Macaca fascicularis: one gene and its partners. The protein of the gene in region 1 interacts with the protein of each later gene in a pairwise test. Links are inferred from orthologs where the notes say so. Each region holds a gene or a part of one and is shown on either strand. Other genes may lie near its edges. The genes, in order: GOLGA2, MYEF2, LCP2, NTAQ1, PKN1, TPX2 and ZNF410.

Region 1 (4,291 bases):
CCCTCACAATCTAACTTGAGAGTGGTGGTAGTGGTAGTGGCAACTCCATCTGGGGGATGAGAGGAGGAGGAGGCTGCGTTTTGGGGGTGGCTTGCCAGAGAAGAGGAGAGACTATTAGCAACTAAAGGAGTGGCCAGGGTGAACACCAAGCATTTTCCTGATTGGGGAGCTGTGGGTTTGTTTAAAGGCAGGGCTGGGTGAGGGGTGAAACGAGAGAGGAGGAGAGATGGCTGGTGCTGAACTGGAGTGAAAGGCATCTGAGGGGCCAGGAGACAGGATGGGGAGGGAGAGGAGTTAGCCTAGGACAGGACAGGATAGCACTTCTTTCAAGAATGGCGGGCCTGAGGAAAGGAAGGGGAGGGATTGAGGAATGACCTGGAGTTTCTCAGTCGGCTAGGAGAAGATATGGAAGAGGGCTAAGCGGGGATTGGCTGCGGTTGGGATGGGGAGGAGGGCCGGGAGCGCACGAGGGAGGGTCGGGGATGGGAAGGGGGGTGTGGGGGAAGAAATACTCACAGGGGATCGGAAGGCCCCGCGGCAACTTCGGGTAAGTCCTGGTTCAGTCCTGGAGAGGAATCCGAGGGGAAAGCCTGATTGGACCCACAGTCCGCTGTGAGGACAGGGGTACTGTGGGGATGCGGGAGGAGGAGCAGCTGGGAAGTAGGAGCGCCTGGGACTGGATCCATCTGGAAAGGGGACAGATATGCTCCCAGGATCAGGGTAGAGACCCTCTAGGAAGGGGGCGTTCTGAGGCGGGGGTTGTCTGAAGCACTGGATGGGAGTCTTTGGAGGTGATTTCTGGAAAGGGAAAGTCTGGGGCAGGGCTGTAAGAAGTCAGGAAAGAAACTGTGGAGTCCGTTCCTCGCCCACCTCCTGAGCCCTGGGGTCCGAGGCCCCCGGATCAGGGGGTTCAGTGGCGCAAGAGGGTCCAGCGCGGGAGTCGGAGAGCGGCCTCTCAGGTGCGCGAGGCAAGGAACACTGACCCGGAGCTTGATGGTCGCACAGCAAGCTGCGCGCGCACCCAAGGAAAGCCGGCCCCGCCCCTCTCCGAAGTGGGCGGGGACAGCGGTTGCGTGCGCAGCTTTTGTTGTGACGCCACAGGTCCCTCTGGCCACGCCGCTGCCTGGCCACGCCTCCTTTCCGCTTTATCTTTTTCATTGACGAATGGGCTTTGATCTTTGAGGCCACGCCCTTATTCTGCGCTCTAGTACCGCCCTGGTTACGCCTCCTCTGGCTCGGTCGCACAGCTGCGCGGTGGCTGACTGACTTCCGCAGTGGTTGCCGGGATCGCGCTGATGTGGCCCCAACCCCGCCTCCCTCCCCGCCCCGCGATGTCGGAAGAAACCCGACAGAGCAAATTGGCCGCAGCGAAGAAAAAGGTAAAGTGCACCGGGTCGCGGCCCCCTGGCCCAGCCCCAGCCCCATTCCGATGGCAGGACCACGGCCAGAGTCCCTGCCACTCCTGAGGCACACCGGGCTGGGCTCCCCCCAGCGCCTCTGGGCTCCCCCGACAAAAGTCTTGTCAGCCAGCCCCGCCCCCTCAGCCGCCCAGCCCCCGCCCTCGCCAGTCGCCCCCGGGTGACTTTGGGCTGGTGACTCCCGGGGCTCCCCGCTCCAGACTTGGCCCTCACCTCCTGCCGCCCCAAACCGGACCTCCCTGGGCGATTTGGGCTCGCGTCTCCAAGGACCTGGGTCCTGGCCCTGCGCTCCCCTCCCCCATCGCAGAGCAGCGACTCGGACGTCGCGCTGATGTTCCCCCCTAGGAGTGGAATGTAGTGACGTCACAGCCCCCCTCGGAACCGTAATTAGTGCGCGAGACCAGTCTTTGATCTTAGGACCCAGTCCCCTAAGTGTTCTCATCCCGCTTCTGGTTCCTCTGGTCACAGCATAAATTTCCAGCTGGAAGGGGATTGGGGACTATGGCACCTAGGAGGGAGAGGTTTCAGGCTGCCTTACACCCTTAACATAGACACTGATAGTGTGAAAAGCCTACACTTCCCCCGTGAGCTCAAAACATTGGCAGTATCTCTGGGTGGCAATGTGAGAACGGGATTGGTTTGATTTTCCCCCAGGCTTCTACTCTCCAGAGAGACTAACATTTTTTTTCTGACTTCCACCTCATATTCGAATTATCCATGGTTCTGGGACCAGAGTGCCCTTCAGTGGTCTCTGGAATGAGATCTGCTTATCTCCTGTGGAACAGGTCTTGGGAAACTGAACTTGACAGCTTGAATCTTCCTCATATCATCTCAGCCTAGGGTACTTGAAATGCCACAGGATAAATATCTTTCTGAAGCATCAGTTTCCCTTTATTCTCTTGAGAAAAAAACATTAATGTACTTAGGGATGACAGTCACATAAATTTCTAAGAGTATACCAGACTTTTCTCTGAAATGAGGCTTGGGTTGTCCTCTTTCTGTTGAATTCCCAGGTTCAACAGAAAGGCTGCCTTTTGCCAGGAGGATACATTGATGTAAGTTTCAGAGGCATTGGTGCATTTCTTACATTAACAAATGTGTGAGGATGTATGACTCTAAACCACACAGTGTACAGTTCCTGCCGACTTAATGTTCCAGCCCACATTTTAAGATACATATTTATTTTGAGAGGCGGAATGTCACTATGTTGCCCAGGCTGGCCTTGAACTCCTGGCCTTAAGTAATCCTCCTGCCTTAGCCTCCTAAGTAGCTGGGACTCCAGGCTTGACTTTTCCACCTCATATTTGAATTCTCCATAGCGGAGTGGAATGTAGTGATGTCGCAATCCCCCTCAGAACCGTAATTAGCGTGTGAAACTGACTTTTGATTTTAGGACCCAGTCCCCTAAGTGTTCTCATCCTGTTTCTGGGATGAGAGGTAGAAAGGTACCTCTGCCTCTGGTTTTGGCCCCTGGCAGCTGCTGATTTGTGGCAAAACCCCAGAGCTTGGAGTCAGAAGACTGAGTTTAAGTTCAATTCTTAAATTTTTTTAAGCCATGGTATCAGTCCCTCTCAGTCACTAAGTGATTGTGACAAGACCTTGTAGACTTGTTGGTGGCGTTAAATCAGATGGTATATATGAGTATTTCGGAAAAATTGTAAAGTAGGATGTAACTGTAGGGGCTTGTAGATCTCATGAGTATTATTGCTCTTCTTTTCCACAGTTGAGAGAATATCAGCAGAGGAACAGCCCTGGTGTTCCTACAGGAGCGAAAAAGAAGAAGAAAATAAAAAATGGCAGTAACCCTGAGACAACCACTTCTGGTGGTTGCCACTCACCTGAGGATGTGAGTCTTGGCTGGCTAGGCTCCTGGGGACAGGGGGCCCAAGGGGCAGTAGAGGGTAATTGTTATGATTGTGGAAGAACTGTTGGGTACTGATTAAGAGTTCTGGGTGTGTATCCTACCTGTCCATCTGCTAGGGATGTGATTTAGGGCAAATCGCTTGAGCTTTTTGGGCCTCTCTCTTCACATCTGTAAAGTATTGTTTTACTTACACTTGTGAAGTTTAAATGAGATTTGTTATTATTGTTGTTTTAATGTTAATCCCTAGTACAGGGCCTGCTGTAAACACCCAGGACACCCAGGAAATGGTAGTTGCTGTTTCATTTTCCTCATCTCCAGTCTCAAGGGGAAGCCAGGCCAATGACAACAGCCACTGGCCATCAGGCTATCCCTTTAGGAGTCATTGAAAGGGCCCCAGGGTGTGGTGAGGAGAGCCCCAGGCACTAGGATTAGGGGAAGATCTAACTTTTGAGTTCATCTTTGCCACCAGCTTGCTGCATGACCACAGAAAAACCACTTCTTCCCCTGGGCCTCAGTTTCCTCCTCTGTAAGATGACATTGGTTAAGATCAGTGTCTCTCAAACTTGTTTTTTAGCTGGAGCCCCCTTCGTTCAAGTGAACCCTTACTCAGAAGTCTGGTTTTTAAAATGGAGGTGGAGGTCTGCAGCTCTGCTAGATTCACTGCCCACATCCTGGGCCTAAGGAGAAGGGTCCAGTGAGCGTATTAAGAGCTGCATTGGTCAGGTGACTCCACTCTGTGTGACTGCATCCTTCAGGGGACTTTTCCATCTATTTGTTTCTGCCCCCGGCAAGGCAGCAGGTGGCCATTTGGAAGGATGGCACAGGCCATGGTATTGATCTCCTCCACTCTTCTTCAGCATTTCGTTTCCCTGAACCCACATCTTCCTCCTTCCCTGACTTTCTTGCCTCTCTCTAAGCCACTTCTACCTTTCTTCCCCTGCCCTTGTTTTTCCCTTTTCGCCTCCTGTAGATTCAGGACATTCTGAAGGTGCTGGTGTCCGACCTTAAC
Region 2 (3,697 bases), on another chromosome or scaffold:
TTGATAAATGGTATTGATTTACTTCAGATACCAGTCTCTAGAGTTAGCAATGATATAACTACATAAGGACAGGTTTCTGGTTTTCTTCCTCTTTCCTGAAGCTTCTCTGAGATTCTCCTTGACATCACTGTTTTTACCTTTATTGATTTAAATCTATGCTATCTTTTCCCGTGACTATTTCTGTAGCATATTTGGTGCCATTCTTAGACTTTGAGCTCAAATTGTGGTATTGAATAAATGGCTTTGGCACTGTGGTTGCAAGCAGAATTAGTGGGGCCCTTTGTAGCCTGATAGAAATTAGATTTCTGGTCAGTTGCACTTGTTTGCAGGGGATAAAGGAGTGAAATGAGGATAAAAGGGAAGGAAGAGAGAGAGATTAGGGAGACTGGGCAGTAAGCAACCATTTATTCTAAAAATAATTTTGTATAAATGTGTAAGTTTGTCATAGGGCATGGTGAGTTGGTGGCATTTTGTGCTAGCTTGACTTATTGCTTATACAGTTAACCTCAGGAATTAGGGATTTAACATAAATAAAATACATTAAATCCTAGGAAAATCTTTCCTGATTCCAATTTTGTATATTCTAATATGTATATATTTATTACTTTATATGAATTGTATTTTACTCCAAATATAATGCTTATATTATTTGTTATTTAAAAAAATGATGTTTTTAATCAAATTATCATAATTGGCTATGAGGAATTTCAAACCTATAAAGTGAAATAGAACTCATTTAATAACTGACTAGTAATTCTGTAACTTTTATTTTACAGGTCATGTAATGTTTGCAGAAATAAAAATGGAGAATGGAAAGTCAAAAGGCTGTGGGACAGTCAGATTTGACTCCCCAGAATCAGCAGAAAAAGCCTGCAGAATAATGAATGGCATAAAAATCAGTGGCAGAGAAATTGATGTCCGCTTGGATCGTAATGCATAATTTCAAGCCATGGTTGGAACATTCCTACATCTGTTTTGCTGAATCTCCTAGTAAAGTCATTTTTTTTTAAGTAATATTGTATGCTTACAAAAGCTGTAAAAATGAACTTTTAAAACTCCCACCAGCTTTTAACAGTATAATGTTAAAAATATACTGTAATTTTTGTTAATCTCAAGTTTGGGTTTTTAAAGACAGCAAGTCTGGTCATTCAGTTTAAATGAATGGTTATACTGTTTTTAATGAAATAAGCCATTTTCTTGTTGTTTTCAGTACTACATAGTTGGATTTGTTTGTTCTAGTTTCTCCAGTTTTTGTCAACTTATTGTATGGTAAAACAGATTTTTTGTGCCCCAAAACTTCTGTTTTATAATATGTAATTCTTCATGAAAAGAAAGGGCTCAGAAAAATTAGGATATGATTTTGGTTGGTTTTAAATTACTGTAAGTTTTAGATTCTAAGGTTCAGGATTTAAAAAATTTGATTTAAATGAAGAAATTGATTTTTCTCTCTGCCCCTCCCTGCCATTCATATTTTCTGCATAACACTGTTAATAATATCAACCTCCACAGCCCCTTATTTTATTATTTCCAATAATTCCAAGTTCATATAGAACTGATAATGTAGCAAGTCCCAAGTATGATAATAGGCAGACTATTCCCAACTTTCTGTCTAGTTTCCAGCCATTGAAGTGAACTGCTAAAAAAAGAAAAATAATTGAAACGTTGAGAGAGATGGTTGTGTAAGTTAGTCCTCTGCTGTTTACTTCTATAGGAGCTGATCCATTTATAAATGCAGTTTTAATAAACCATGGAATACCAAGGCACAACATATCAAACACATTGGATCCCACGATGTTAGACATAGCCATATCTCCTTTCCCTACAAAAGAAAAGCATATTGTTAAAATGTGCTTACCAATACTGTATTTTATTAATCTTCATAAGAAAAGAAACACTGGATACTTTTTTGTTGTTGATTCATTTTGGAAAATTGTTAGAGCAAAAGTCTTACTGAATTTGTATTTTTAAATTTTTCTTGGGTTAGTATTTAAAGTCTTAACATTTATTTAATTATATTTATTAAACCATTTTTCAATAAGGTATCTAGCTTACTTGTTGCTTTTCATTGTAATTTAACATGGTCCATTACTATTTAATGCACATTTCAAATGAATATTATTTGGGGGATTAGATTGTGTGAAATTAACCTGCTATTAAATAGTAAACTCTTCCTCTTGAGTCACTTTTTTTTTCCCCTTCAAAGTATGTTACTGAGGAAGTAAACTTTTTTTTTTTTTTTTTTTGAGACTGAGTCTTGCTCTGTTGCCCAGGCTGGAGTGCCGTGGCGCGATCTTGGCTCACTGCAACCTCCACCTCCTGGATTCAAACAATTCTCCTGCCTCAGCCTCCTGAGTAGCTGGGATTACAGGCGCATGCCACCATGCTGGGCTAATTTTTTAATTTTTAATAGAGATGGGGTTTTACCATGTTGGTCAGGCTGGTCTCAAACTCCTGACCTTGTGATCCACCCGCCTCGGCCTCCCAAAGTGTTGGGATTACAGGCGTGAGCCACCACACCCGGCCGGAAGTAAACATTTTTAAAGCTACTTTTACTCATTCTAGCCATGTAGAATGACCATTGCAGCTTAAGGGACTTAGTTCTTACCTTTTCTTGCGACCAACACGCTTGTAATTGTGTCTGGTATGCTTGTTCCTGCTGCTAATAAAGTAAGGCCCATTACTGTATCTGGAATTTCTAGTGTTTCCCCTGTAATAAACAGATACTTCAGGTTACAAATCTTAAAGAGTCACTAACCATCTTTTGCAGTTATTTTGGGTATTTCCTTCCTGAACAAAAATAAAATAGGCAGATTTAGAATTCAGAGCCAATATGTGCTTGCTTAGTTTTTTAGCTAGCAACATATTTGAATCAGGCTGGTAATTTGGGTAACCCAGGTAGCACAGATTTTTAATGACAATCTAAAGATGTATGTAACAGCCAAAATTCTGCCACTGAGAAATTTTCCTGTTTGATATTCTTACGGAAGATGTTTATGTCCACCATTATCTCATCAGGGCTGTGCTGAATATTTGCTAATGAGAGTGATCATTCCTGTTTTTCTTTCTTAAAAAATTTTATTAAATTAGAGTTAAGCAAATTAATTATAGCTATCTTTAAGCTATAAATGTGTTAACATGTATATATATCATTTATTACATTCTACTTTAGTGATATACCTTAATTTAGTGGGCTTTGGCAGGGTGGGGAGGGGGAACATTCATTAATCTCTCAGGAAAACAAAACCTGTTTGTTTTCTACTTGAGTCTAACATATGGTCCCAATTTATTAATACTTCTATTAAATTTGATGTCAGGTCAACATTGATCAGAAATGTATTTATTCTCAGAAACAGAACCAGAGAGAAGTTAAAAAAAGTTAAAACATATGTAACTGTTCTTTTAATGTTGTAATTGAAAACTTGGTTTAGCATCTTTTTTTCTTTTTCTTAAAATGCCAATTAAAATAACTTAATTAGAAAGTAGCTTATTTATTGCATGCTTACATATTGATACTGGAATTGGAATTGGTTAATTTCTATTACTGGCTTTGCTAGAATTCATACGTGCATAAATAACACTAATAGTTATAATCTTGGGGGGCTGTTCTGTGATCTATTACATGATTTTTGCTCTCTTTTTATTTTCCTAATATCAAGTGTGTTCTGGCTGAGTGAATTTGGATAGATATAATATGCAA
Region 3 (3,443 bases), on another chromosome or scaffold:
AAATGTACACACAGTACCTTACTCAAGATCTGGACAGAGTTGTACTGAATACATATTTGTTGAAGGTATGAATGAATGATGGATGAATAATTAAGAGAACATTCGACTCACAGAATTTTTCTGTCTTTAACCACAGCCTGGCACACAGAAAATACCCTGGGCAACCGCAACAAACACAACTAAACCTTTCCTGAGATTCGGAAACTTTTTCCTAAAGTTTCAAGGAATTGTAAATGAGAAAAAAGAGTTTTAGAGAAGATGAGACATAAGCGCTGGGTAATTAATAGGTGCCCAACACAAACTTCCTGATCTGTAGAGCCTTCTATGTGAGTTGAACAGTTCTACCTGTTCAGTTAGAACAGCAGGTAGCAATATTTGATTCTAAAAGCTAGCAATATTCTCAAGGTAATTTCATCTTCTCTTGGGTCACTTACATTTCTTTTTGTGGAAATATTAAGAACATAATTATCTTCATTACTGCCTGTCCCTACATCAGCTGTTGGGAATCCATTCTGCCTATGCTGAGATTATAAGAATCTATGAAAGATATGTCTCTTGAGCATTCATTTTAATGTTCACACTCATTAAAACAATTGTGAATTTTTTAGTAAAGGGATCTAGTCACTTTATATTATGCAACATGCACATTTAGAAAATCACTCCAAGTTGAGGTTCTCTTCTCAAAGTTTTACTGGCATGATTACAGAATAATGCCTGAGTAGCCTCCATGGTTTCAAACGGAAGAAAATTATTTTTGAAGCCCTGGTTTCTTAAAATGCTAACAGTAGGACCAACCGCAAGGGTATTTTGAGGGGGGGGGGGCGGGAATGTGTTTTGATAGCAGTAAACAATAGCTTACAGTAAATTAACTTTCAGAACTCTGTACTTTTGAAGGCCCTAGCAACAGAGCACCTATCAGAGCCGAAGGCAGAAACTTCCCCTTGCCACTTCCAAACAAACCTCGGCCCCCATCCCCCGCGGAAGAAGAGGTAAGAAAGTATATGTTTTTATTTTTGTTTGTTTGCTTTTTCCCTGGTAAAAGAATCACCAGAAACTCCCACTGAATGTTCTTCTATACTTTTATCTTCCGTTTGTTTTATTTTATTTATTCGAAAAAAAGTTAAAGGAGAAGATCCAGATGAACAATATGTTCTTTTTCCTTGGCATTCTTTCAGACTCTTTCAATGGCAAACGTGTGTTTTGCATTAAATGGCAAGAAAAATAATCCTGTTTTTTATGTTTATGACCTTGATTCATCACTTAACTGCTCGATAAACCAGTTTTTTTATCAAGCAGGTTATTATGCTAAACTGAAGAAATTACTGTATCTGCATCTTTCCTGATTAGAGGTTCCATACTGTAAGGAACACTTATTCACAGGTATTTTTGCAACCAGCGTCATGATAAAAAGCAGTTCACACAAAATGTCTTCTATTTAGCCTCAGCTAAATGACTCTGAATGCAAATTAAGAAAACAAATGTTTCAAACCTCCTGGAATTGAGGTGGTGATTTATGGAAATGATTACTCAGAAGCTTTTCTTTTCACTTACATCTGTAACTGTAAAATTTATTCAGTTTCTAAAAATTTACATTTTCAGAATTCATTAAATGAAGAGTGGTACGTTTCTTATATTACCCGACCAGAGGCAGAAGCTGCTCTTAGAAAGATAAACCAGGTATTGTGCTATAGTTTATTTTAACATAGTTATAAATATTAATGGCAGAGAAGGGAACTGACTTGTCCTGAGTACCCATTACAGGCTAGTAATTCTGCTAAGTGCTGTTGCTAACTGTGATACCTAGGAGACCCATTAGTGCCAGCTTCACAACTATCAGCACCCATAGCAGGGATTCCTAGGCTCGGGAATCATTAGGCTGGCAGAAGAATCTCAAGGCAGTCATTTGGCTGGCAGAATCTTAGGAGATTTGATTAATGAAAGAGTTTGTCTTGTCATACGAATCACACGGTGTCAGAAGGAGGCTCTCCTTCCCCCAAAGTTCCAACATGGTACCAGTTCTATCTTCCTCTTAACACAGATGTGCCATCCTTGTTGATGTGAAAGGACCGATATTAAAGAGACGGCAGCAACTTTTTGCTTTTTGCCCTAGACGTTTCTAGCTAGTCCTTTAATACATAAAGTCTTGAACATATCTCCCGTAGCCAGTGCCGACACTTTACCTTAAATTTATTTATCGGAAATGGGAAAGCAAAACTCTTTCATCTTTCACATCTAAACTCCACACCAGTAGTTCTCAGTAGTAGCTGCACATTTAAATCACCTGGAGAACTTTTGAAAAATCCCGATTCCTGAGTCTCGCCTTAAGATTCTAATTATTCTGGGGTGCTGTGTCAGCTCTGGAGTCTTCAAAACTTCCCAGGTAATTCTGATTTGAAGCCAAGACTGTGAATCACTGATCCAGAAGTATGTTTGTTTAGCAGAGATGTTCTGACAGGCTCAATTAACTTGCAATAAAACGAACAAAGGAAAGCCATTATTGCCAACTCATGGCTATTTAAAGCTATCCTGATTTGGTATGAGGAGAAGGGAGTAGTTTAAAGGAGTCCTTTCCAATTAATTCTATCTTAATATTAGATCTTTATAGCATTAATATTATGTAGCAATAATTTATTGAATGGAAATTTAAAGTACAGGACAATCAAAACAGTAGTTTAGCAAATATCAGAAAAAAAGAAAAGAAAAGAGAACATCTGCATTCAATTTTGTTCAAGTGTCTGATGAAGGAAAGACTATCTAGGGATCACAAGGTTTTAAGAAGGGTGAATTTCACGGCATTTGGGTCTTTTCTGACTTTGGATGTGGAAGAGAAAGGTTAGGGAATTAACTCACAGGAATAGTAGGAAGATATATCTTGAGTTAACCAATAAAGTTTTTTATTTCTCCTGGCCTTTTATCCACTCAACCACCCATTATTTATTAGGGAACAAAAGATTCCATTTTTATAAGAGACTTTAACGAGATTGACTCGGAAATTTCTCTGATACAATCTCTGTTGCCTTTCTTAACAACAAAATAACTCATGACACATGGGATCTGTAGCTGTGTGGAGAACTGAATGTTCGTTGAATGACGGGTTTTGCACTCAAGAAGCTGCAAAGTGCAACTGACATGTTTGTCAGATCCCTGGAGGCTGGTCTACTATTCTTGCAAGCAACAAAAATATTGACTTTTACTCTCCCATAATAACAGGAATTTATCTTTTTAGGATGGCACATTTCTGGTTAGAGACAGCTCTAAAAAAACAATAACCAATCCATATGTCCTCATGGTGTTGTACAAAGATAAAGTTTACAACATCCAGATCCGTTATCAGAAGGAAAGTCAAGTTTACTTGTTGGGAACTGGACTCCGAGGGAAAGAGGTAAGGATTTCAAATTTCAACATTTTCCCAAAGTCTTTTTTTATGCCACTCTGCATGCCTT
Region 4 (4,483 bases), on another chromosome or scaffold:
GTCTGAAAAAGACTGTATCTTTCCTTCCTATATGATGCTTAGTTTCACTGGATACAAAATTCTTGGCTGGTAATTGTTTTGTTTGAGGAGGTTAAAGATACGGCCCCAATTCCTTCTAGCTTATAGGGCTTCCCACTCTAAAGGAGAAATGTTTAACAGAGTTGCTATATAGCATAGAGGCTATGTGGAAGTTTGTATTAGGAGCTGAGAGGCAATAAAATTGGTAATTGACACAGGAACTGGGCTCAAAGTCTTTAGGATTTATCGGCTTTGGGACTCAAGAGATTGGAAAATCAGACTGTGGATGGCTAAAATCAATGTAAACATCTCAGTTTTTATAATGGGAAGTACCCTGATTAGCGAGTTATCCTCATTGCAAATAGAAACAATTCAGAAGACTGTAAAGTGTAAAGTCCTTGAAACTGAAAGTCCCTGATATTAATACTATTCATTCACCATAGATAAATTCTATTTTTTTTCTTTTTTTGAGACGGAGTCTTGCTCTGTCGACCAGGCTGGAGTGCAATGGCACTATCTTGGCTTACTGCAACCTCCGCCTCCCGGGTTCAAGCGATTCTCCTGCCTCAGCCTCCCGAGTGTCTGGGACTACAGGCGCGCGCCTCCACGCCCAGCTAATTTTTGTATTTTTAGTAGAGACGGAGTTTCACCATTTTGGCCAGGCTGGTCTCGAACTCCTGACCTCGTGATCCACCCGCCTCGGCCTTACCAAGTGCTGGGATTAAAGGCCTGAGCCACGGCGCCCGGCCCTAAATACTATTTTAACAATATGGTGTCTTTTCTTCCAGACTGCCAGTAAATGAACAAACACATGATTAACACAAAAAGGATACCATATGGACTCTTTAAACTTTTTTTTTCAAATTTACTATATCAGGAAATTAATATATCTTTTCGAGCCAATAGATATAGGTCTTCCAATTTAAAAGATTAAGTTACAATAGAGTGAGATTTGGGGTGCTATCCCTTTCGGAAAGCGTCCTCGATGCGGTCATATTGGAATTAACCTCCACTCCCCTCCTCTTCTCTGGGCTCCCGCGGACTCCAGGCTGAGTGCTGAAGTGTGGATTTTCACACCCAAACCTCTGTTATTTCAGTGTCTCACCTGGCTTCTCCACAGCGCAGAAGCTCAGCCCCAAGTTGGAAGAGCCTCCCCGGGAGATTCACAGCGAAGCGCTATTCAGGGCCCAACTCCAAGCCCAAACCTAGCTCCACCCTAAGCCGCCGCCAAAGACCCCTCTTCTCCCAAACCTCACCGGGGCCCCGCCCCTGACTCCGCCCACGAGAGCCCAAGCCTCCAGTCCTGCCCCACCCCGGGCTCCACCCACCAGCCGGGCTCCGCCTACCCGGAAGCACGCAGTCCTCCTCGTCCCGGGCTCCGCCCACCGGGAGCTCTCGCCGCTCACCCCACCCCGGACCCGCCCACTTCGCTTGGGCTCCACCTTCCCAGGAACTGGCGCCGCTTGCCCGAGCTCTGCCCATTTCGTCCCGGGCTTCCCGCGCTGAGAACTCGTGCTGCGAGCCCCGCCCACCGCGCTCCTGGCCCCACCGCCCGGAAACTGTCCCGGCCGCCCCGGGCTCCTCCCACCCCGCCCTGAGAGCCCGCGCGGGCCGCTACACGCCCGCCCTTTCCTACGTGTGGTCCAGTCGGTCTTCCTCCGGCGTCGGCGCTGGCCGAGCTAGCTGGCCATGGAGGGTAATGGCCCCACTGCCGTCCACTACCAGCCGGCCAGTCCCCCGCGGGACGCCTGTGTCTACAGCAGCTGCTACTGGTGAGGGGGCGCGGGCGCAGCCTCTGGGTCTCCCAGGCTCCCGGGCCGCGAGTTGCAACCAGGCCCCGCCTCTTCCCGGCCCCTGCTCGGGGGCGCTCCCGGCCTCTACCGGCGGGTTCTACAGTTCTGCGGGAGTAGGGAGCGGGAATGGCAGCTCTTGTCTCTTGAGTAGAGCGTGGGCTGTTGGATGGGGTTGGGAATTCGTCCGGAATCCTAGGGTCGATAGTGCATTACCTGTGCCTGGCGCTTGTCGGTTGGATTTGCTCAGCAGATCTCTGCTTCGGGGCTAGGAAGGGTGGAGCTCTGAAAACCTTTGGAAGTTACTCTGCTGAAGCATGTGGGGTTTCAGACTGAGGCGAAGGTCATTTTAATTTTGGAAGAGAATGGAAGCACAGAGAGTTTGGGATAACTTCCCAAGGTCACCCAGCTAATAGCAGCCAGGAATCCAGTTCGGGCTCTCTGGCACCAGAAACCATGATCTTAACCATGTTGTCATTATAATAATGGTTACATTCACACAGCACTTGCTATATGCCACGCGTTGTTCTGGGTGGTTTAGGTAAACTAAATCACTGAGTATCACAATAACCCTAAGAGGTAGGTATTGTTATCCCCAGTTTAAAGATGAGAGCACTGAAGCACAGAGGGCTGCAAGTAATTTGCGCAGGGCCACATCACTTGTGAATGAAGGAGTGGGGATTTACAGGCAGAGTCTGGCCCCGGAGTCCATGCTCTGCACCCCTGTCCTAGGCCACCTCTGCAGCTGAAGCACCGCCCCTGCCTTGGTCCTTTTTCATTCCCATGCCTACTCTTTCCTGAGTAATGGTTTCTCCCCCAGCTTCTAGTCCTTGCACAGGAACCCTCAGTGCTATCTAAAACTACCCTTCCCCCTTCTGCTTGTCACTAAATCAATGCCACCGAGCATTTGTTCGGCCCTGATTGCATGTCAGGCTCAGTGGCAGGTGCTTCCATCGATGTCCATGAGTAGCTTCTTTTACTATCGTTATCCTCATTTTACTAATAAAAAGAGTGAGCCACAGAGAGGCTGTTGTGTGCCCCCAAATCACACATCTAGCAAGTGGTGGTGCTGAAACTGGAACATCTTCGTGATTTTGAAGTTCATGCATCTTAACTGCTGCACTCTTTTTCTGTCCTGCCTCTTCTAAATCCCGTTAGTTCTCCTCCCTAATGTCCATTGTTTTATTCATTCATTCAATAAATGTGTATTAGGCACTTGGAGTATGTGGCCCACTTCTGGGCACTGGAGATACAGCAGTGAACAAGATCGACAAATTCACTCATGGATCCCTTGGTTCTTGTGTTTTGATGAGAGAAAAGCAGATAAGGTCCGGTGCGATGGCTCACGCCTGTAATTCCAGCACTTTGGGAGGCTGAGGTGGGCGGATCACTTGAGGCCAGGAGTTTGAGACCAGGCTGGCCAACATGCAGAAAGGCTGCCTCTACTAAAAATACAAAAATTAGCCAGGTGTGGTGGCACACGCCTGTAATCCCAGCTACTCGGGAAGCTGAGGCAGGAGAATCGCTTGAACCCGGGAGGAGGAGATTCCTGTGAGCCGATGCCACTGCACTCCAGCCTGGGAAACAGAGCGAGATTCCATCTCAAAAAAAAAGGCAGACAAAAACAAGTAAACCATGTTTGGGTGGTGTTAAGTGCTGTGAGAAAAATAAGATAAAGGATGGTGGCTTATTTTCTATTAGGATATTTTGAGAAGACATTGTTGATAAGGTGATATTTGAACAGAGATCTGAAAAAAGAGGGTGAGAGCTTTGCATCTATTGGAGGATGGTCATTTAAGCAGGGAGAACAGCAGGTACAAAGGCTCTGAGAAGGAATTGTGCTGTATGATAGAAACAGTGAGGAGACTGGTACAATTGGAGTATCAGAGTTAGAGCAGTCTTGTAGAAGAATGGTAAGAGTTGACCACTCTACCGCAGGATTTCTCCGCCTAGGTTCGAGTTGACATTTTGAGCATGATAATTCTTTGCTATGGGGGCTGTCCTGTGTATTGCAGGACATGTAGCAGCGTCCCTGGCCTCTACCCACTAGATGCTGTTAGCACCCTAGCTCTAGTTGTGACAACCAAAAATGTCTCCAGACATTGCTAAGTGTCCTGTAGGGCTTGGGGGGCAAAATCGCCTTTTGCTGAGAAACAGTGCTCTACCCTGTCTGAACATGTCAGGTGGGGGCACTGCACTACTTTGGCTCCTGCAGCTTTGTGGGGTTTTTTTATTTTTGAGACGGAGTCTCAGTCTATCACCCAGGCTGGAGTGCAGTGGTGCCATCTCGGCTCACTGCAACCTCTGCCTCCCAGGCTCAAGCCATTCTCCTGCCTCAGCCTCCCGAGTAGCTGGGACTACAGGCACCCACCACCATGCCCGGCTCATTTTTGTATTTTTAGTAGAGATGAGGTTTCACCACAGTGGCCGGGCTGGTCTCAAACTCCTGACCTCAGGTGATCCACCCGCCTCGGCCTCCCAAAGTTCTGGGATTACAGGCATGAGTCACCATGCCTGGCCATCCTGCAGGTTTTTAAACTTGAAATGAGTGCCTCCTGTCTACTTCTGTTAGCTTCTGTCATGTTAGCTTCCAGATGTTACTTATGCTTCAAGACCCTGCTTAATGATAATAGTGGCAGTTGGTATTTGTTTGGGACTGTGTCGTCGGCAGAGCA
Region 5 (3,697 bases), on another chromosome or scaffold:
AATGGAAATGTTCCTCGTCTTTATCTAGGTCAGAGGTCAGCATGCATTTTCCGGAAAGGGCCAGAGAGTCAATATTTTTGGCTTTGTGGGCTAGACAGTCCCTGTCTGCTTTGTAGTTTGAAAGCAGCCACAGACGATTTGTACACCATAAGCGTGTCTCTATTCCGGTAAAACCTTATTGGTAGTTCACACGGAAGTTTGAACATCGTTGAACTTTCATGGGCAATGAAATATTCTTCCTCTTTTTTTTTTCCCCCAACGATTTAAAAATGTAAAAATCACTTCACCTGTGGTCCCAGCTACTTGGGAGGCCGAGGCAGGAGGATGACTTGAGTCCCGGAGTTGGAGTCCAGCCTCAACAACATGGTGAAACTCCATTTTTTTTTTTTTTGAGATGGAGTCTCACTCTGTTGCCCAGGCTGGAGTGCAGTAGTGTGATCTGGGCTTACTGCAGCCTCCACCTCCTGGGTTCAAGGAATTCTCCTGCCTCAGCCACGCGAGTAGCTGGGACTACAAGTGTGCGCCACCACACCTGGCTAATTTTTGTCTTTTTAATAGAGACGGGGTTTCACCTTGTTGACCAGGCTAGTCTTGAACTCCTGACCTCAGGTGATCTGCCCGCCTCAGCCTCCCAAAGTGCTGGGATTATAGGTGTGAGCCACTGCGTCCAGCCACTGCATCTCTTTAAAAAAAAAAAAGGCCGGGCGCAGTGGCTCAAGCCTGTAATCCCAGCACTTTGGGAGGCCGAGGCGGGCGGATCACAAGGTCAGGAGATCGAGACCACAGTGAAACCCCGTCTCTACTAAAAATACAAAAAAAAAATTAGCCGGGCGCGGTGGCGGGCGCCTGTAGTCCTAGCTACTCAGGAGGCTGAGGCAGGAGAATGGCGTGAACCCAGGAGGCGGAGCTTGCAGTGAGCCAAGATCGCGCCACTGCACTCCAGTCTGGGCAACAGCGTGAGACTCCGTCTCAAAAAAAAAAAAAAAAAAAAAAGTGAAAGCTGGCCGGGCGCGGTGGCTCAAGCCTGTAATCCCAGCACTTTGGGAGGCCGAGACGGGCGGATCACGAGGTCGGGAGATCGAGACCATCCTGGCTAACACGGTGAAACCCCGTCTCTACTAAGAAATACAAAAAAACACTAGCCGGGTGAGGTGGCAGGCGCCTATAGTCCCAGCTACTCGGGAGGCTGAGGCAGGAGAATGGCGTGAACCCGGGCGGCGGAGCTTGCAGTGAGCCGAGATTGCGCCACTGCACTCCAGCCTGGGCGACAAAGCGAGACTGTCTCAAAAAAAAATAAAAAATAAAAAATTTTAAAAAAAATTAAAAAATTAAAAATGGACATTGTCGAGCCAGGCATGATGGGACTTGTAGTCCCAGCTACACGGGAAGCTGAACAATTCTGTAATCCCAGCACTTTGGAGGCTGAGGCGGGTAGATCACCTGAGGTCGGGAGTTCGAGACCACCCTGACCAACATGGAGAAACCCCATCTCTACTAAAAATATAAAAAATTAGCCTGGCTTGGTGGTGCATGCCTGTAATCTCAGCTCTTTGGGAGACTGAGGTAGGAGAATCACTTGAACCCGGGAGGCGGAGGTTGCAGTGAACGGAGATCGTGCCATTGTACTCCAGCCTGGGTAACAAGAATGAAACTCAGTCTCAAAAAAAAAAATTAGCTGGGTGTGGTGGTGCAAGCCTTTAGTCCCACCCCCTACCTTCAGGAGGTGAAGGTAGAGTTGAAGGCTGCACTAAGCTATGACTGTGCCACTGCACTCCATCCTGGGCGACAGAGCAAGACTGTGTCTCTAAAAAAAAACAAAAAAGAAAATTCGGGCTGGGCGTGGTGGCTCACGTCTGTAATCCCAGCACTTTGGGAGGCCGTGGTGGGTGGATCACCTGAGGTCAAGAGTTCCAGACCAGCCTGGCCAACATGGTGAAACCCCATCTCTACTGAAAGTACAAAAATTAGCCGGGCGTGGTGGTGCAGGCGTGTGGCTGGAGGAGAGTGAGTGAGGGGCCGCATGGGAGGAGAGGTGAGGACAGAGAGGTGGGGGGCAGATCTTGCAGGGCCTCAGAGGCTGTTGTGGTTATGAGGGCCTCTCTGACTCCCCTTACTCTGGCCTCTTCTCCGCCACAGAGCTCCCCGATCCAGGAATCCTCCATCACTCCCAAGCTGCCTTCGGAGACCCAGGAGACCCCAGGCCCCGCCCTGTGCAGGTGACACCACTCCCCGGCCCCCTGCCCACCACCCACCCCTGCCTGCTGTCCTTGTCCTCACCAGTGGCCTCTCTCCACAGCCCTCTGAGGAAGTCGCCTCTGACCCTTGAGGATTTCAAGTTCCTGGCGGTGCTGGGCCGGGGTCACTTTGGGAAGGTGAGGTGGAGGGCAGCGGATTGGGAGACCCCCCCCCAGGTCCCTGGCTGGCCACTAAAGCCACCCCTGCCCATTGTGGTTCCAGGTGCTGCTCTCCGAATTCCGGCCCAGTGGGGAGCTGTTCGCCATCAAGGCTCTGAAGAAAGGGGACATTGTGGCCCGAGACGAGGTGGAGAGGTGGGGACCTGCCGTGGTCCTCTGGGGACCTCTGTCTTCTCTTTTGGGAAATGACAGAGCAGTTCTCTCCTTGGAGCTGCAGGGAGAGTGACTCATAGTGGTCACTAATGCCAGGCACGGTGGCTCTCGCCTGTAACCCCAGCACTCTGGGAGGCCGAGGCAGGTGGATCACTTGGGCTCAGAATTTCAAGACCAGGCTGGGCAACATGGCGACACCCCCATCTTTACAAAACATACAAAATAATTAGCTGAGTGTGGTGGTACGTGCTTGTAGCCCCAGCTACTCATGAGGCTGAGATAGGAGGATCACCTGAGCCCAGTAGGTCAAGGTTGCAGTGAGCTGAGATCACACCGCTGCACTCCAGCCTGGGCAACACAGTGAGACCCTGTCTCAGAACAAATAAGTCACTAATACCTACTAGCCTAATACCAAGATAATAATAGTTCTTATAAAAGTTATTCATGGCCGGGCGCGGTGGCTCAAGCCTGTAATCCCAGCACTTTGGGAGGCCGAGACGGGCGGATCACAAGGTCAGGAGATCAAGACCATCCTGGCTAACACGGCGAAACCCCGTCTCTACTAAAAACACAAAAAATTAGCCGGGCGAGGTGGCGGTGCCTGTGGTCCCAGCTACTCGGGAGGCTGAGGCAGGAGAATGGCGTGAACCCGGGAGGCGGAGCTTGCAGTGAGCTGAGATCTGGCCACTGCACTCCAGCCTGGGCGACAGAGCGAGACTCCGTCTCAAAAAAAAAAAAAAAAAAAAAAAAAAGTTATTCGTTTGTTCCTCCATGTTGCCCTATAAGGTAAATACTGATGGCACAGAGAGGTTGAGCAATTTACCCAAGGTCACACAGCCAGTAAGCAGCAGGTCCAGGATTCAAAGCTAGAGACTCAGGTTCTGAAGCCTGTGCCCTTCGTGGTGCAAACATACTGCCTCTGCTTTGGGGACAGGATCCTGGGTTCAAATCTCACATCTGCAGCATGGGCTTGGAGATCCTGGGGAGGTCACTTCTCCCTTCAGAACCTCAGCCTCTTTGCCAGGCACTGTGGCTTACGCCTGTAATCCCAGCACTTTGGGAGGCCGAGGTGCATGGATCACCCGAGGTCAGGACATCGAGACCAGTATGGCCAACATGGTGAAACCCCG
Region 6 (4,228 bases), on another chromosome or scaffold:
GTCTCAAAAAAAAAAAAAAAAAAAAAAAAAAAATTCAAGATGCCATTACTTGTGCTTTTGCTCTTCCATAGGAACTTTAGAATTAACTTGGCAAATTCCAGAACAGAACCCACTGGGACTTTCATTGGAATTGCCTCGACCTTTTTTGTTTTGTTTTGTTTTGAGAAGAGTCTTGCTCTGTCGCCCAGGCTGGAGTGCAGTGGTGCAATCTTGGCTCACTGCAACCTCCACCTCCCGGGTTCAAGTGATTCTCCTGCCTCAGCCTCCCAAGTAGCTGTGATTACAGGCCCGCGCCAGCACGCCCAGCTAATTTTTGTATTTTTAGTAGAGATGGGGGTTTCAACATTTTGGCCAGGCTGGTCTTGAACTCGTCGCCTCAAATGATCTGCGTATCTCGGCCTCCCAAAGTGCTGGGATTACATGCGTGAGCCACCGCGCCCAGCCTAGAGCTAAAGTTTTGAATCTTTAGCTTTTGCTGGTATTATGAAGGGGGTTGTTTTGTTGTGCTTGTTGCTTCTATTTTCTAATTGATTAAAAAAAATTAAGATGGTGGGGGTGGTCTCGTTATGATATCTACGCTGTTCTGGAACTCTTGGTCTCATAGATCCTTCTGCTTTAGCCTCCTGAGTAGCTGGGATTACAGGTGAGGGCCACGAAGCCTGGCCTCTAATTAATTATCGGTGATGTATAAAAAGAACAGACCTTCTTCATTCGAATCCCGTCTTCTCCATCTATTATATGATTTTGGACATGTTTGTTCAACTTCTCCGAGCCTTTGTTTTCTTTTTACCATATGGGGATCATAAAGCCGGAATGCAGTTGGGAATAAAACCGGATAAAGCACCCAACGAACAAGATCAGGGAAGGGCCTGGGTAAAAGGTTTGAGAAGACACATGCACGGTTGGGAAGGACGCTACGGGCGAGTCTATGTTGCATGCAGGAGACTCCACGTTAAGACGAGTGAACTCCTCTGAACCTTCAAGGGATAATGCACAACCATAACAAGAATAATTTTTAAAAATAAAGTTTTCTTCCCTGAAAGCCTGGGGATGTCCAGGATGCGCGCCATTCTGTGATCTAAGTCGACTTTCCACCTCTTCAGTTGGTACCACCTTTCCCAAAGAGTTTGGAGCAGAGCACTCCGGTCTTCGTAGTAATTTACTCCTAAGGGCTGGTCCAGTGGACTCACGCAGGCGCAGGAGACTACACTTCCCGGGAACTCCCGGCCTCGTTGTTCGCTGGTACCGCCTTCTGACTTCCGGTATTGCTGCTCTCTGTAGGGCCAATCGGGAGCCTGGAATTGCTTTCCTGGAGCTCTGATTGGTGCATTCGACTAGGCTGCCTGGGTTCAAAATTTCAACGATACTGAATGAGTCCCGCGGCGGGTTGGCTGGCGCTTCGTTGTCAGAACTGAGGAGAGGCTAGGTGAGCCGCGGGAAGAAAAGAGGGAGCAGCTGGGGCGCGGGTCTCCCTCCTCCCGGAGTTTGGAATGGCTGAAGTTCACCTTCCAGCTCCTAGCGCAGTTCGCGCGGGTAGGCCTGGCTTCTGAGGCGGTTGCGGTGCTCGGTCGCCGCCTAGGCGGGGCAGGGTGCGAGCGGGGGCTTCGGGCCACCCTTCTCTTGGCGACAGGATTTTGCTCTGAAGTCCGTCCGGGAAACGGGGGAAAAGGAGTTGCGGGAGGCTATCGTCTAATAAAGGTAACGATAATTATTATTACCATGCTAACAGGTTATAAACATTGACTGAACTAAGTACCCTGCGTGCCCGTTCTCATCTAATTTCCTCGCCAAGCCAATGTAGTTGGTGCTATTCTTGGTCCCTCTTGACGGAAACGGAGGAAGGAGGTAGGAGGAGGAAACTGTGGGCCAGAATCTAGATAAATTTCGAGAAATGGGTGATACAGTAGCCCTGCCCTCAGGAAGTGTGGCGTTTGATGGAGGAAAACAGAGGTAGTCACAAATAAGGACATTTCAAAACTGTTATCTAAAACAGAAAGATGATTAGATGGTGTGAGAACATAATTGAGGGAGAGTTTAAGTCCATTTGGAGTTGTCTTCTATTTGGGATTTAAAATTCATTATATGTTATCCATATTTGTCCAGCTCTCTCTTTTTGTATGGAATCACCAGATATTATTCCCTTTCTCATTTCCTTTCTCAACATTTATAGATTGGAGGGGGGAAGGAAAACCAAACCAGGTTATAATATTGTAGAATTGGTTTACCCCCTATTTTCTTGACATATAACGTCTTGTTTTCCACATATAATTTTCTGGTAGTTCAGTAACATGGACTTCCCCAAATCAGGCCTACTTAGGATAGAAAAGGATTTTTGACTCCTAGATTTTGCTTTAAGACCAGCTCTTGGTTTACTCCCTGGTTCACCCTTACCTTTTCTTGACATCCTATGGCCTCTCTTTGAATTTCTCTCACTCATCAAATGTTGTCAAAAATAGGACTATAAGGATGTTCTTGTATTGTGGCCTTAGTGTATTACACCACCCCCACGTCAGACTTAAGTCCGTCCCCCTGGTTGGATGGATGAGTCAGTTCAGTATTAAGCTGGCATTCTTGGATCAAAATTATGTGGCTCTCAGCTAACTCAGCCATTTAGTTGTCCTTTGAGGGTACTGCGTGCTCAGATTGGCATGAGATATGGGTATACAGATGTGTGATGAACTCAAAGGTTTTTTGGTGTGTTTGGGGACAAAAACATGGTTTGAAATTGGCAAGTGAGAATCAGAACAAGACAGGACACCATCTGAGTGCTCTACTGTTTTGTATTCTAAGTGTCCGGACAATTTAGAGGTGAGGGAGATCAAGAGCCAGTTTGTGTTTCTGTGCTTCACAAAGCCACCCTTGCCTAATTCTTGATAAGCAAGAGTTTGGTTAGACAGGGACTGAAACAATCCTGGTACATAGGAATCACCCACTAAATACCTGTTGAATTGACTAGGCAGGAAGGCACTATCTGAATTGACTACAAAATTGCGGGTATGAAAAACTGGATTGTACTCAACTAGGTTGGTAATTTTGTTTAGACTTTCAAATTAGCTGAATAGGGTTTATTTGGCTAACCTTATGCTTAAATCTGTGTATTTCAACCTTGATAAAATTAATTTATTGCAGTTAAGATTGTCCAGGATTATGTGAGAGAGTCCTTCATTTCTTGTTTAGGTACCAGATTTTCAGAGTTCGTCTACATCTGTTGGTTAATTTTCCTTCAGCTTTTTCTGGGTCTCTTCCCTAATTCTTTTTTTTTTTTTTTTTTTTTTTTTGAGACGGAGTCTCGCTGTGTCACCCAGGCTGGAGTGCAGTGGCACGATCTCGGCTCACTGCAAGCTCCGCCTCCCGGGTTTACGCCATTCTCCTGCCTCAGCCTCCGAGTAGCTGGGACTACAGGCGCCTGCCACCACGCCCGGCTAGTTTTTTGTATTTTTTAGTAGAGACGGGGTTTCACCATGTTAGCCAGGATGGTCTCGATCTCCTGACTTCGTGATCCACCCGCCTCGGCCTCCCAAAGTACTGGGATTACAGGCTTGAGCCACCGCGCCCGGCCTATCTTCCCTAATTCTCTTTGAATTCCTGGGAGAAAGAGGAGGGAGAGTTAAATGCCCTTTGACATACTTAATTTTCTTTGCTATGAGTAAAGTTAGGAAGCAAAATTGACTATATATAGAGTTTTTTTTTTGAGATTTCAGCTCACTGCAACTTCTGCCTCCCCTGTTTAAGCAATTTTCCTACCTCAGCCTCTCGAATAGTTGGGATTATAGGGACCTGCCACCTCACCTGGCTAATTTTTGTTTTTTGTTTTTTGTTTTTTTTTTGAGATGGTGTCTCTCTCTGTTGCCTAGGCTGGAGTGCGATGGTGTGGTCTTGGTTCACTGCAACCACTGTCTCCCAGGTTCAAGCAATTCTCCTGCCTCAGCCTCTCAAGTAGCTGGAACTACAGGCACGTGCCACCACACCCGGCTAATTTTTTTGTATGTTTAGTAGAGACGGGGTTTCACTGTGTTAGCCAGGATGGTCTTGATCTCCTGCCTGCCTTGGCCTCCCAAAGTGCTAGGATTACAGGCGTGAGCCACCGCGCCCAGCCTAATTTTTGTATTTTTAGTAGAGATGGGGTTTCACCATGTTGGCCAGGCTGGTCTTGAACTCCTGACCTAAAGTGATCCACCTGACTTGGCCTTCCAAAGTGCTGGGATTATAGGTGTGAGCCACTGCTCCC
Region 7 (3,697 bases), on another chromosome or scaffold:
AAGTTGCAGTGAGTCGAGATGGCGCCACTGCACTCCAGCGTGGGTGACAGAGCGAGACTCCATCTAAAAAAATAAAAAAGCTTAAACTCTTGCCATGCAGAAATCTTTTATCACTGTGTTACTCAAATGCTGGTTCATGGATCAGCACTAGTTACCATCAAAATCACTAGGGGAACTTTTAAAACTACAGATTCTGGGATCTTGCAAATTATCTCATTTATCAGATTGCTTTGTTTTATTGGTGGGGGGAAAAGCAACAAAAAGTATACAAATTTTAAAAGGTTGCAGATGATTCTACTGTACAGCTATGTTTGGAAACCATCAGCCCATCAAATGAGACCAGGTCTATCTACCTAAAACAGAATCAGAAAATTTCCAGATAACCAGGCAAGACAGTGATTTGGCTCTTTGAACCCTAGAAGGTATAGCCCTCCACTCTGCCCACCCTCCTCACCAGTTTGCTCCTGCTCTTGACTCCCAGCTGCTCCCAGCTGCAAGTGATGCTTTCTCATATGCACATTCCTGCTTCCACTCTGAGAGAAGGTCTTCCCACAGACTTGGCACTGATGAGGCTTTTCTCCTGAAACAGGGACCAGGTTAAACAGGGAAGCCAACGGCCGGGCGCGGTGGCTCAAGCCTGTAATCCCAGCACTTTGGGAGGCCGAGACGGGTGGATCACGAGGTCAGGAGATCGAGACCATCCTGGCTAACACGGTGACACCCCGTCTCTACTAAGAAATACAAAAAAAAAAAAAAAAAACCAAACTAGCCGGGCGATGTGGCGGGCGCCTGTAGTCCCAGCTACTCGGGAGGCTGAGGCAGGAGAATGGCATAAACCTGGGAGGCGGAGCTTGCAGTGAGCTGAGATCCGGCCACTGCACTCCAGCCTGGGCAACAGAGCGAGACTCCGTCTCAAAAAAAAAAAAAAAAAAAAAAACAGGGAAGCCAAAAGGACAGGAAGAGAATGAACTCAAGACCTAGATGGAGAAACCCAAAGAATGTTAAACTCAACATAAGCAGCAGCTCCTTTTCCCATTCCCCACCTTCCCAGCCTCTCAAACTTCAGCATATGGGGGAAGGCAGGAAGAGTACACCAGGAGGGCTTTAGCACACTCCCTGCTCCCAGCCCCTGGTCCTTTCCAGACTCACTGTAATGCTGCCTTCACAAAACCTCTTTGGTATAGGACCATGGCAACCACAAAAAATAGGCCTTCTTTTTCAGATAGTCGTCCATGGACCTCTAGGATATGTGCTTTCCTCAAGGATTCCAATCCTGGGTTCCTAATATCCCCTTGACATATTCCCCGCCACCCTCTTTAGGGTCAACATTCACACTGGTGGCTCTTCTAACATAATAATCTAAATTGTCCTCTATGTCTTCAAGTCCCAGACTCTCCGTCTCCATTCTACCTACCCAGACAACCATACTTAGAGCAGAGGTCAAAAACTCCTGTCTATAGGGGACTGATAGGTAGCGAAAGTAAAATCGCCCAGTGGAGGCCACAGTAACCTAGAGAGTACCTAGAAAAGGGGCAGCTATTATTCAGCTCTAGCCAGCTGTTGCCATAGGTAGATTAAGGCCTAGCACAGCCAGGTTCTGATTTTTTTTTTAAATAAGGATTTTTAAGTAGAATCTCCCAATTTCTAAATGCTAGGAACAAATTCACAATTGATAAACACATGGTACAGCAATCTTCATTGCTGATTGTGTTTTGCTGGGAATGCAAAATACAAAAACCTCTTTGGGGGAATCTGACCACATCTAGAAAAACTGTAGATGCACTTGCCCTTTGACCTTGGAATCCCACTTCTAGGAATATATCCCAAAATTATAGTGGCAAAATGTGAAATACTCTATGCACAAGGTTATTCATCACTGCAACATTATTTTAAATGGCTAAATACTGGAAACAACGTAAATATTCATCACAGAGACTGACTAAAAAGCTATAGATACTGCAATAGTCCTGCATAGCAAAAAAAAAAAAAAAAAAGCTATACAATAGAAACAGGGTAGAATATTACAAACCTTAAAACTAAAAACTGAGTCACCATTTGAACCAGCAATCCCATTACTATCTACCCAAAGGAAAATAAACTGCTCTACTAAAAAGACACCTGCCCTCACATGTTCACTGCAGCACTATTCACAACAGCAAAGACATGGAATCAACCCAGGTGCCCATCAGTGGTAGATCAGATAAGGAAAATGTGGCACATACACACCATGGAATACTGTGCAGCCATAAAAAAGAATAAAATCATGTCCTCTGCAGCAACATGGATGCAGCTGGAGGCCATTATCCTAAGCAAATTAACATAGAAACAGAAAATCAAACACCACATGTTCTCAGTTGTAAGTGGGAGCTAAACACTGGGTACTTATGCACACAAAGATGGGAACAATAAACACTGGGGATTCCAAAAGCAGCTATGGGGCAAGGGCTGAAAAACTACCTATTGGGTATTATGTTCACTGCTTGGTCAACAGGATCATTAGTAGCCCAAATGCAATATACCCTTGTAACAAACCTGCACATGTACCCCCTGAATCTAAAATAAATAAAATAAATAAATTTATTTTGGCCAGGCGCAGTGGTTCACACATGTAATCCCAGCACTTTGGGAGGCCGCGCAGGCAGATTACTTGAGGTCAGGAGGTCAAGACCAGCCCGGCCTACATGGTGAAACCGCATCTCTACAAAAATTAGCTAGGCGTGGTGGTGGACGCATGTAATCCCAGCTGCTTCGGAGGTTGAGGCAGGAGAATTGCTGGAACCCAGGAGGTGGAAGTTGCAGTGAGCCAAGATCATGCCACGGCACTCCAGCCTGAGCCACGGAGCGAGACTCCGTCAAAAAAAAAAAAAAAAAAAAAGGCCAGGCGCGGTGGCTCACTCCTGTAATCCCAGCACTTTGGGAGGCCAAGGTCGGGGGATCACGAGGTCAGGAGATCGAGACCATCCTGGCTGACACGGTGAAACCCCATCTCTACTAAAAATACAAAAAATTAGCTGGGCATGGTGGCCGGCGCCTGTAGTCCCCAGCTATTTGGGAGGCTGACGCAGGAGAATGGCGTGAACTTGGGAGGTGGAGCTTGCAGTGCGCCAAGATCGCACCACTGCACTCCAGCCTGGGAGACAGCAAGACTCCGTCTCAAAAAAAAAGAAAAAAAAGAAAAAGTCATGAAATGTCCAGAACAGGCAAATCAATCCAGAGACAGAAAGCAGATTAATGGTTGCCAGGGGCTGGAGGAAGAGAGAAATGGGCAATGATACTTATAATGGGAATTCTTTTTCTTTTTTTAATCATCTCCTGGATATGGGGATCCTTTTTGGGATGATGAAATGTTGTGGAGTTGGACAGTAGAGAAAACTATAAAACTATGAATATATGAATATATAGTTGGCTATACACATCCACTGATTGAACCAAGCAGATAAAAAAAATTCAGAAAAAATAAAAATAAAAAATAACAGGCCAGGTGTGGTGGCTCATGCCTGTAATCCTAGTACTTTGGGAGGCCAAGGCAGGTAGATCACTTGAGGTCAGGAGTTCAAGACCTGGCCAACATGGTGAAACCCTGTCTCTACTAAAAATACAAAAATTAGCCAGGCACGTGCCTGTAATCCCAGCTACTTGGGAGGCTGAGGCAGGAAAATCACTTGAACCCAGGAGGTGGAGGTTTCATTGAGCCGAG

The links.
Region 2: the proteins of GOLGA2 (region 1) and MYEF2 interact in binary tests that used the Homo sapiens proteins (3 or more experiments, as listed by UniProt). The two-hybrid records come from large-scale screens. The link is inferred for Macaca fascicularis from reciprocal best matches to the Homo sapiens genes GOLGA2 and MYEF2.
Region 3: the proteins of GOLGA2 (region 1) and LCP2 interact in binary tests that used the Homo sapiens proteins (3 or more experiments, as listed by UniProt). The two-hybrid records come from large-scale screens. The link is inferred for Macaca fascicularis from reciprocal best matches to the Homo sapiens genes GOLGA2 and LCP2.
Region 4: the proteins of GOLGA2 (region 1) and NTAQ1 interact in binary tests that used the Homo sapiens proteins (3 or more experiments, as listed by UniProt). The two-hybrid records come from large-scale screens. The link is inferred for Macaca fascicularis from reciprocal best matches to the Homo sapiens genes GOLGA2 and NTAQ1.
Region 5: the proteins of GOLGA2 (region 1) and PKN1 interact in binary tests that used the Homo sapiens proteins (3 or more experiments, as listed by UniProt). The two-hybrid records come from large-scale screens. The link is inferred for Macaca fascicularis from reciprocal best matches to the Homo sapiens genes GOLGA2 and PKN1.
Region 6: the proteins of GOLGA2 (region 1) and TPX2 interact in binary tests that used the Homo sapiens proteins (3 or more experiments, as listed by UniProt). The two-hybrid records come from large-scale screens. The link is inferred for Macaca fascicularis from reciprocal best matches to the Homo sapiens genes GOLGA2 and TPX2.
Region 7: the proteins of GOLGA2 (region 1) and ZNF410 interact in binary tests that used the Homo sapiens proteins (3 or more experiments, as listed by UniProt). The two-hybrid records come from large-scale screens. The link is inferred for Macaca fascicularis from reciprocal best matches to the Homo sapiens genes GOLGA2 and ZNF410.

The regions. Positions count from the first base shown.
Region 1 is NC_088389.1:15,705,013-15,709,303, forward strand, and holds the start of GOLGA2 (golgin subfamily A member 2), read left to right. Parts: upstream 1-1,331; coding exon 1,332-1,379; intron 1,380-3,141; coding exon 3,142-3,264; intron 3,265-4,252; coding exon 4,253-4,291. UniProt on the Homo sapiens protein: Peripheral membrane component of the cis-Golgi stack that acts as a membrane skeleton that maintains the structure of the Golgi apparatus, and as a vesicle thether that facilitates vesicle fusion to the Golgi membrane.
Region 2 is NC_088381.1:24,644,893-24,648,589, reverse strand, and holds part of MYEF2 (myelin expression factor 2), read left to right. Parts: exon of another isoform or gene 1-776; coding exon 777-940; 3' UTR 941-1,496; coding exon of another isoform or gene 1,497-1,819; 3' UTR 1,820-2,605; coding exon of another isoform or gene 2,606-2,707; 3' UTR 2,708-3,697. Other genes in the region: SLC24A5 (sodium/potassium/calcium exchanger 5), read right to left, coding at 1,497-1,819, 2,606-2,707. UniProt on the Homo sapiens protein: Transcriptional repressor of the myelin basic protein gene (MBP). Binds to the proximal MB1 element 5'-TTGTCC-3' of the MBP promoter. Its binding to MB1 and function are inhibited by PURA.
Region 3 is NC_088380.1:177,056,587-177,060,029, reverse strand, and holds part of LCP2 (lymphocyte cytosolic protein 2), read left to right. Parts: intron 1-894; coding exon 895-989; intron 990-1,599; coding exon 1,600-1,677; intron 1,678-3,226; coding exon 3,227-3,382; intron 3,383-3,443. UniProt on the Homo sapiens protein: Adapter protein primarily involved in signaling pathways within T-cells, as well as other immune cells such as platelets, mast cells, and natural killer (NK) cells.
Region 4 is NC_088382.1:133,060,884-133,065,366, forward strand, and holds the start of NTAQ1 (protein N-terminal glutamine amidohydrolase), read left to right. Parts: upstream 1-1,663; 5' UTR 1,664-1,707; coding exon 1,708-1,790; intron 1,791-4,483. UniProt on the Homo sapiens protein: Mediates the side-chain deamidation of N-terminal glutamine residues to glutamate, an important step in N-end rule pathway of protein degradation.
Region 5 is NC_088393.1:14,900,143-14,903,839, forward strand, and holds part of PKN1 (serine/threonine-protein kinase N1), read left to right. Parts: intron 1-2,136; coding exon 2,137-2,216; intron 2,217-2,296; coding exon 2,297-2,372; intron 2,373-2,457; coding exon 2,458-2,549; intron 2,550-3,697. UniProt on the Homo sapiens protein: PKC-related serine/threonine-protein kinase involved in various processes such as regulation of the intermediate filaments of the actin cytoskeleton, cell migration, tumor cell invasion and transcription regulation.
Region 6 is NC_088384.1:87,827,395-87,831,622, forward strand, and holds the start of TPX2 (targeting protein for Xklp2), read left to right. Parts: upstream 1-1,368; 5' UTR 1,369-1,426; exon of another isoform or gene 1,427-1,698; intron 1,699-1,729; exon of another isoform or gene 1,730-1,845; intron 1,846-3,830; 5' UTR 3,831-3,952; intron 3,953-4,228. UniProt on the Homo sapiens protein: Spindle assembly factor required for normal assembly of mitotic spindles. Required for normal assembly of microtubules during apoptosis. Required for chromatin and/or kinetochore dependent microtubule nucleation.
Region 7 is NC_088381.1:141,855,131-141,858,827, reverse strand, and holds part of ZNF410 (zinc finger protein 410), read right to left. Parts: exon of another isoform or gene 3,329-3,697; intron 978-3,328; exon of another isoform or gene 581-977; coding exon 455-580; intron 1-454. UniProt on the Homo sapiens protein: Transcription factor that binds to the sequence motif 5'-CATCCCATAATA-3', and is specifically required to silence expression of fetal hemoglobin in adult erythroid cells.